2 linked regions of the Mus musculus genome follow. The protein of the gene in region 2 purifies or fractionates together with the protein of the main gene of each other region. This does not show direct contact. Links are inferred from orthologs where the notes say so. Each region holds a gene or a part of one and is shown on either strand. Other genes may lie near its edges.

Region 1 (4,577 bases), on a different chromosome or scaffold from region 2:
CACATACACTGGCATCTCCTGGGTATATTTGCTTCCCAAATGCTGATATAAAAGAACAGCTTTGCCCAGGAATTAGGAGTCAATTTACCCTTAATAACAGGTTCTACCTAGAAGAAATTACACAAATTTGTAGTCACAGAACAGCACCCCCCCAAAACAAATTCAGTATGTTGATCAATTATATTTGTGAAAATATCAAGTAGATGGGCCACACAGCAAAGCTGTATAGTAGGGAAATTATAGATTTCAGGTGATGTTACAGCCATCTTAGCTTTAGGGTGAATGAAGCTAAACTGAATGATGTCTCTCGAGAAATTTATTAGGAGAATGTTGGAAGTTAGAGTAAATGGCTATTTAAAGTCTAAAGCAAGGCCACCTTAGAAGGCTCAGAAGGTAAAAGCATGTGTGCACGCACTCACAGACACACACACACACTAGTTTTTAAAGAGGCCTAAAATAGTTCCAGATCCTTTGCCTACATTTGATGTCTCCACAATTGCGATGTTGTAGTCAGCCAGTCTGCAGGATCTTTATTGTAGATGCTCTTCAGAAAACTTCAGTTCCCACAGCAAGTCGGGCACATGGCACCAGATCTGTCCTTGCTATCTCAAGCTCCATAGCAGCCTGGATCACCTGGATCACCTAAACTCAAAGGCAATCACTGGGGATTGAGTGCAACCACCTGTGGAAGGTTTTTCTAGAACAGATTTGCAATTTGGAAAGTTGCCATCCATTCAGGTTTCACTCAAACTGGTTCCTTCCCTTCCTCACACCCCGGAACAGATTGTAGCCAGGAACTCTGCCCTTTGTCAGGAGACAACTGCAGTACAAACTTACAATCTTGTCGTTTTCCCTCAGCCAACCACTTCCAGTTCTATCTAGCTACCTTTTTTCTTTAACCTAAGAACCTGAGATGCAACCCCCCCGCACATTTTTCAAGAAGGCTCCATTTTTTTCTCGTGTTCCATTTCGTCGTTTGTCAACCCAGGTTATAAGGGACTCTGGTTGTCATGCCTTTGCAATCACCTGCCAGTGAGTGAAATGTCCCTTCCTAAGGTTCCCCCTCCTCCCGCACTAGAAGTTAGGGATCTTCATGCGCTTCGACTCTCATTAAATTTTAAAAGAAGTTCCAAGCTTCTGAAGTTTAATATAAACCCAGTTGAAAATGCCACTTAAAACTTCGTGCAAGTGTATGTTGTACATCACTCAACTAACAAATCGAAGCCTCCTGGCTCGGCCGTGCAGTGGTTAAGTCAGTCGGTGATGGGTTCACCTGATTCACACCCACACACGAGCAGGCCTCTCCGCCAGGTCCTGCGGCCTCAGAGACACCAGCGTCTCCCCGGGGCTTGAGAGCACCCACAAAGGCACTAGCCCCGAGGCGACCTCAAGTCCTGCCCTCGAGAGAGAGGGTTTAGATGCTCCACGCCCGCAGGTTCACACCCCAGAACCGCGGGCTCCAGCTCCGGGGCCTCAGCAACGGGAGGCCGCCCCGCTGACGTCATCGTCCCGCCCCCCCTCCCCCAGCTCGCGCCTCCGTTCCCTCCCCGCCCCCTTTCCCGGCGTCCGCCGCGACACAAGCTCCTCGCCCTCTGATTTTGCTTCTCCCTTCAAGATGGCGGACACAATGAGCCGGCGGAGCGCCGGTTGGCCCTGAATTGACTCCGGAGAAGAACGGTCAGCGAGGTCCCGTCGTCCGGGCGAGAGAGCGTCGCCTGAGGAAGAGGACGCGGCAGCCCCACTGTCAGCCGTCCTTCGGTTCGTCTCCAGCGCGGCGCCCGCACCGCCGGGGTTGGCCCTGAGCAGCCCGCCCGATCGCTCGCCTCTCGGCCCCGCCCCGGCCCTGCGCCGCCGCTGCCTTCAGCAGCAGCAGCCGCCGCCGCCATGAAGCTGACCGACAGCGTGCTCCGGAGCTTCCGCGTCGCCAAGGTGTTCCGCGAGAACTCAGACAAGATCAACTGCTTTGACTTTAGTCCCAATGGCGAGACGGTCATCTCTAGCAGCGATGATGACTCCATCGTGCTCTATGACTGCCAGGAGGGCAAGTGAGTGTGATAGTGGCCGAGTTCCAAGTGCCCCTCTCCTTCCCTCTGTCGCTGGTCCCCGACTGAGCCCCCACCCCCAACCCCAGGCATGTGGTGCAGGCGCTCTTGCCAGGGCCACCTCCATCCCGCAGTGCTGCAGGAGATCCTCTTTAAGATGATGATGGTTCTTAGTTCATGTGTCTTTGCTCTCTTCCGAGCGCGCTTTTCCCGCTTGCCAAACCCCACCTTGACCTTGACCTTTAAACGCCATGTCCCTGCACCCTGCAGCCGGACGGATAGCCCTTTCCACTCCCCTGGCGACTGTCAGAATGTGCGGGTGGACTCTGAGCTCGATGCAGAACGGCAGGAGCTGTGTTCTGTCCATCAGTGGCGTCCAGCTCTCTGCCTTCACAGCAGTGACCTGGATTCAGCCCTGGCACGGTGCCCGCCCCCTACCCCTCAGCTTCCCGCGCGGCTTTTCTGCAATCAAGCCCCGCGGGATGCAGTTTTTAAGCTGTCAGGATTTATCGATTGTGCCCATGTGAGCTTGCTGTCCTTTCCCAGTACCAATACCCAGGCTTACAGTTAACTTACTAAACAGACTCTTGGAAACTTTTCTTTGCCAGACTCCTGAGAACTTGGCCGCCCCATTCTGGTCAGAATGTGAGCTCTCTTTAAAACAAAGAAAGCATTCCGGAACAATTTAGTGTTTCCTTTTGCATTACAAAAAAAACCCAAGTTTGGCCGCTTAGCCAGTAATCTCAGCATTTGGGCGATAGAGGCAGTCAGACCCTGAGTTCTGGACTTCATAGCAGAGAGACCCTGACTCAAAACAGTTAAAAAACAAAAAACAATAACCGCCAGATTGTGGTTTGCTTATAGTTATCAAAGTTTTGGAATTCTGGAACTGGTTATGGAAATTATGTTAGTTGGAGAACTTGTGTATCTTTGCCGTTTTCATAGCCTGGGTGTGAGGAAGACATTGCCTGTCTCATCTCTGGAAGTTCAAATCCTCGATAAGTAAGCAGTGACCTCTTTTGTAGCAGAAACTAGTTTAGGCTAAATTTGATTCCCTTTGTCAACTTCAGCTTCCTTCCTAAGCAGGAGGTGTTTAGTTTAATAGCTACTGTTTTCGACATTATGTTAAAGTTACCTGTTTTTGAATCCTTGGCTTTTTCTCTCCTTTTTGCAGCTGTTCTCTTTGTTTATTATTTTTTTCAAATAATAGTTTTCTTTTGGAACTTGTCTCTGAGTTTATCTAAAGTAAAGCTATTGTAGAATGAGCTGTATATGATATTGTCCTTGATGGGTTTCCTCGCTGGAGCTCCAACAAAGTATTACGTAACTGTCGTTGGACTTGAGCTTGCTGTATGTGGGAGAGTTTCCTACAGTGGTGATCCTGGGGAAGAGAAAATTACTAACTGGACAAATAGTTATTTGAATTGATGTTCATATTTGTGTATTGATTATTATCATACACTGGTCTGACTATTTGATTCTGTTTGGAACTACAAGTAATTTGAAATTGGTTTGTCTGACATGTTTGGTGCAATACATAGCTTAGAATCTCCCCCCCAAATCTGTAATGGAAATGCATATCCTATTCAAAGGAATAAAACACTAAGACTGAAAAAAATGTTTATTCAGGCATGTAACCTTTTTACATGATTACAAACTTACAGAAAGTTACAATGCTCCAAAGAACTTTCTTGAAAAAAGAACGTGTCCAGCAGTGCCTATAATTTCAGCGCTTGGGAGCTGGGGGTGCGAATCCAAGGCAGCTTGAACAGCTGTCCCAAAAAGGAAATGTAAGGGCTGGAGATGGCTACAGGCACTTGCTCTTAGAGAGGAACAAGTGGACTCCTACACCTTGTAACCATCTGTAACTAGTTCCAGGGGATTTGACCCCTAATTCTGATTTCTTGAGAGATGGCTCAGCTGTTAAGAGCACCTCTTCCACAGGTCCTGAGTTCAATTCCCAGCAACCACATGGTGGCTCACAACCATCTATAATGGGATCCAATGCCCTCTTCTGGTGTGTCTGAAGTCAGCTACAAGGGTACTCCTATAAATAACATAAAGAAGTCTTCATAAAGAGAGAAGTTTGTGGGGGGAAAAAAGTCCAGGAGCTAGAGAGATGGCTAACATGTGGTTAAGAGCGCATGTTAATTTTGCAGAGAACCTAGGTTAATCAGCAGCACCCACGTGGAGGCTCACAATTACATTTAACTCCAGTTGCAGGGGATCTGATGTTCTCTTCTGGATTCCATGTGCATCAGACCTGCATAGGGTGCCCATATATACAAGCAAGCAGACAAAATGCTCATATACATAAAATCAGTAAATGTAAAAATATATATGTATAGAAGAATAATCCAATAATTCCAACAGTAGAAGAAAATAACTGTTTCTTTGGAAGTAACATCTTTATTAGATAATACCAGTAGTAGAATTTGGGTATTTGAAAATAGCTAAAACACAGCTGATTTTTGTTTGTTGTTTTTAAGATACTACACCCCACAGTGGAACTTTGTCTGTAGCTATAGTGCTGGT
Region 2 (3,312 bases):
AGGCTTGCTAGGCTGGACAAAGATCCAAATTCAAAGTTCACTGAACCGGTACAACTTGTTAAAGGCCAAGTTAAACCATCTTCAGTAGGGTAATATTTGTAAGGGTTTGTGTGTGCATTCTGTACACACACAGAGAGAGATGGTAGTTAGCTTGTTAGTGTGTACCTAGAAACCTAGCACACAGGAATTGAAGGCCGAGTTTCAGGAATTCAAGGCCAACCTGGAGACTGTCAGAGGGCTGAGAGCACAGTAGGTGGGTAAATACAGCCACAGGCAGCCTGCATGCATTTCTGAATGTATAATCAGGGTTCTAGTTATATGAAGTCTTACATGACTGATTTTTTTTTTTTTCCTTTCATCTCAGGTCTAGCCCAAGCTGGCCTCAAACTCTGCATCCTCCTGCCTTAGCCTCCTAAGTGCTAGGATCACATGCCTGCACACCTGCATTGGTTATCACTGTTATTTGAGTGTCTGAGGGCTGGGGAATGTACCAGGCCTGGTGCTCCCCAGAATGCATGAAACCCTGGCCTTCATCTCACTGTAATGAAACAAACCAGACAACTCCCCACCCTCCTTCTTTGTTCCCTGACAGGGCAGAGATGAGACTAGACTCACAGACTGTTTAAAATAACTGCATCCTTTAATGGCAGTAATACAATTACTGGATTAAGAGACCACATGAGAGAGAAGGCAGGTGAGGTTTCTGGAAGACAGATACTGAGTACAAAAGGGGGTGGGAGAGCCATGCGACGATCATTGTAAAAATACAGTACGTTATATACATATTTGCACCATCGACTTTCAACTCAGAAATACTATTTACACATTTGTTACAATCCTGGTTAGAGAACAATTTTTCTTTAAAAGTGTGGCCTGATGGTGAGTGGGGAGTCAAGCGGATGTCCTTGCCCATGAGGGTCTTCGGTTAACTGTTCCAAGAGGAAAGCTCCAGACTCCATCTTACCCACAGATTTCAGCCTTAAAAATTCATTTAATTTTTCTTTAGCAAAAGGACAGTTTTCTTTTTCTAATATAGACCAGACTGGCTTTGAACCTGTAATCCTCCTGACCCTGCCTCCTGAGTGCTGGGATGACAGGTGCCCACTACCAAGCCTGGCTTTTACAAAAAGGGGGTTTTCAAAGGGGTGTCGGGACCCAAACACTGCCACACTGTACTCACCCTACCTATCCTATGCTCACCAGGGCCCCAGCCTTGGCCTCAGGGCCTCGTGGCCAAGGCTGGGGCCCAAAGACAAATCTCATTGATGATTGTTTAAGAAAATAAAACAAAATAAAAAACACAAGACAAACCAACCAACTTGATCTTGGTGCACTGACCCCAAGGGTTGTGAGGCTGTGGGGCACAAGCCCCTCCCACCCTGGCTACAGGCCCCAAACTGTTTTGAAGGGATTTCTCTTTGGGGTGTGGAGGGTGGGATGGGATGTGGGAGCCTGTCCCCTCCCGAGGTGGAGGGGAATCCACTGGCTGTGTGCGTCAGGTCTCCTTATTAACAAGAAGGAAGCAGTTGGGCCAAGAGACCCAATATAAAAGAGGCAGCCTGCAAGAAAGCGGACTTGTAGGGCCTGGTGAGTGACTCAGAGAAACCTTCTGCAGGTCTTACCCAGTTCCCTGATCCAACCTTAGGGAGAGGGTCAAGGAGAGTCTCTGCCCCTTGGCGCTCCCACCCCCATTCTTTGGACAAGGCCAGCCCTAAGGAGGCTAGTGGTGGCGGCTGCGGGAACGCCTCCACTATGTGGGATATGGCAGGTAACTCTGGGCCTCCCCACTTGAAGGGGCTTGGTCCCTTTCCTAGAAAAGGCCCAACACATCAGCTGGACACCTGCTATTTCCTCAGGTCCCATTTGGGGAAGGACCTATTAATCCAACACAACAGATCACTGATGCCCAGCTTCTGTCAGCTTGGGAGGAAAAAGCAAACACTATCCGGTACTCTACAGATAACATGGCTAAGGGGTGTGGAAGCAGCTAGCAGACACACTGTGCCAGGGCCACTCTTGGCCTCTCTCCTTGGGGGTCTGGCAGGTGGCCACACCACGGATCCTTGAGCTGTCTCGAGGGTCAGGCCAGTGGCACAGGGTAGGTAATACTGAGGGAGAATGCTTCAAGGGGCTGTCCCACTCCTGCCAGGCCTGCTACCCCACAGGTCTGTCTACCAAGAGTCTCCCGCAGAGCTGGTGGGTGTCACTTTCAGGACAGACAAACCCTGGATGGACAGACGGACGGAGGATGTGGGATGTACAGGCTAGAGCAGGTTAGGGCCAGAGGGTTGCCGGGCCCTTTCTCTCCTGTTGACATTTTCTCACTTCACTGTTGCTTTGTCCTGAAGCAAGCTGTCACAGGCTGCATGCTAGAGAGGACAGTTGACCCTGGGGCTCTAGGAACTCCTGCACCAGCTTCTCCACGATGTGATGTGGTTCTGTCAAACTTGCAGCAGCACAGGGTGAGTGAGTGGCCGTCAGTGCTTCCCCAGACAGCTATGCATCCCTCAGTTCCAGGGAAGTCCCAGGCTGGGTACTTGCCACTATCCAGTGCAGGGTATAAGTTGCTCACTGGGCAGAGGGGAGCCCAGGAGCCTGCAGCACTGACCAGAACCCAAGATGGTTAGATACAATTTATGACTCAAAGAAAGTACTATTTAAAAATGGGGAAAAAAGGGAAGAAAAATGTGAAGAAAGAACACCCTGCCCACCTGCCCCACCTCCCGCCTGTAACTCTGGTTGCTGCCCTTAAATGTCACCCTGGGAGGGTGGTGGAGTGGAGGGAGCACTGGCCCCCAGTGACACTACTGGCAGAAGGGGGAGGCTGTGGGGTCAAAGCCTTTAAAAACGTCCTTCAGGGATCCTGCATCCTGCTCACCCTCACGGGCAGGGCTGTTGCCAGCAAAGGGGCTCCCTGTGCCTGTTTTGGGGGCCGGCTTTACAGTCCCAAAGAGAGTGGGCACTGGCAGGTTGTGTACCCCAGGCTGGGGTGTGGCCCCCTCAGGGGGCGGGGTGGATGAGGCAGCAGTGGGGGCTGCTGTGGCCTTGGGCCGGGGCCGGTTGTAGCTATTGTATCTGTCCGTGGCTGTGGCCCCATCTGTGCTGGCCTTCCCTGTCTCTGGCTGCTCCAGGGCAGACTTTCGGACAAACGGAGGCTCTTTTGCCTTGGAGGCTGAGCCCTTGCCATTGCCCTCAGGACCCTTGGGCTGAGCACTTGTGTCAGAAGCTGGCTCTGCAGTTTTGCCACCTGCATTGGGAGTCCTTGGGTCATATAAGCTGATACCACTCAGCACACTGCTCTGCCCGCTGCTG

What was found.
Region 1: the proteins of Zc3h4 (region 2) and Wdr82 purify together in Homo sapiens (affinity purification with western blotting; 4 studies listed by BioGRID and IntAct, with this or other methods). This does not show direct contact. The link is inferred for Mus musculus from reciprocal best matches to the Homo sapiens genes ZC3H4 and WDR82.

The regions. Positions count from the first base shown.
Region 1 is NC_000075.6:106,169,335-106,173,911, forward strand, and holds the start of Wdr82 (WD repeat-containing protein 82), read left to right. Parts: upstream 1-1,594; 5' UTR 1,595-1,884; coding exon 1,885-2,045; intron 2,046-4,577. UniProt on the Homo sapiens protein: Regulatory component of the SET1/COMPASS complex implicated in the tethering of this complex to transcriptional start sites of active genes.
Region 2 is NC_000073.6:16,435,003-16,438,314, reverse strand, and holds the end of Zc3h4 (zinc finger CCCH domain-containing protein 4), read right to left. Parts: coding exon 2,805-3,312; 3' UTR 619-2,804; downstream 1-618. UniProt on the Homo sapiens protein: RNA-binding protein that suppresses transcription of long non-coding RNAs (lncRNAs). LncRNAs are defined as transcripts more than 200 nucleotides that are not translated into protein.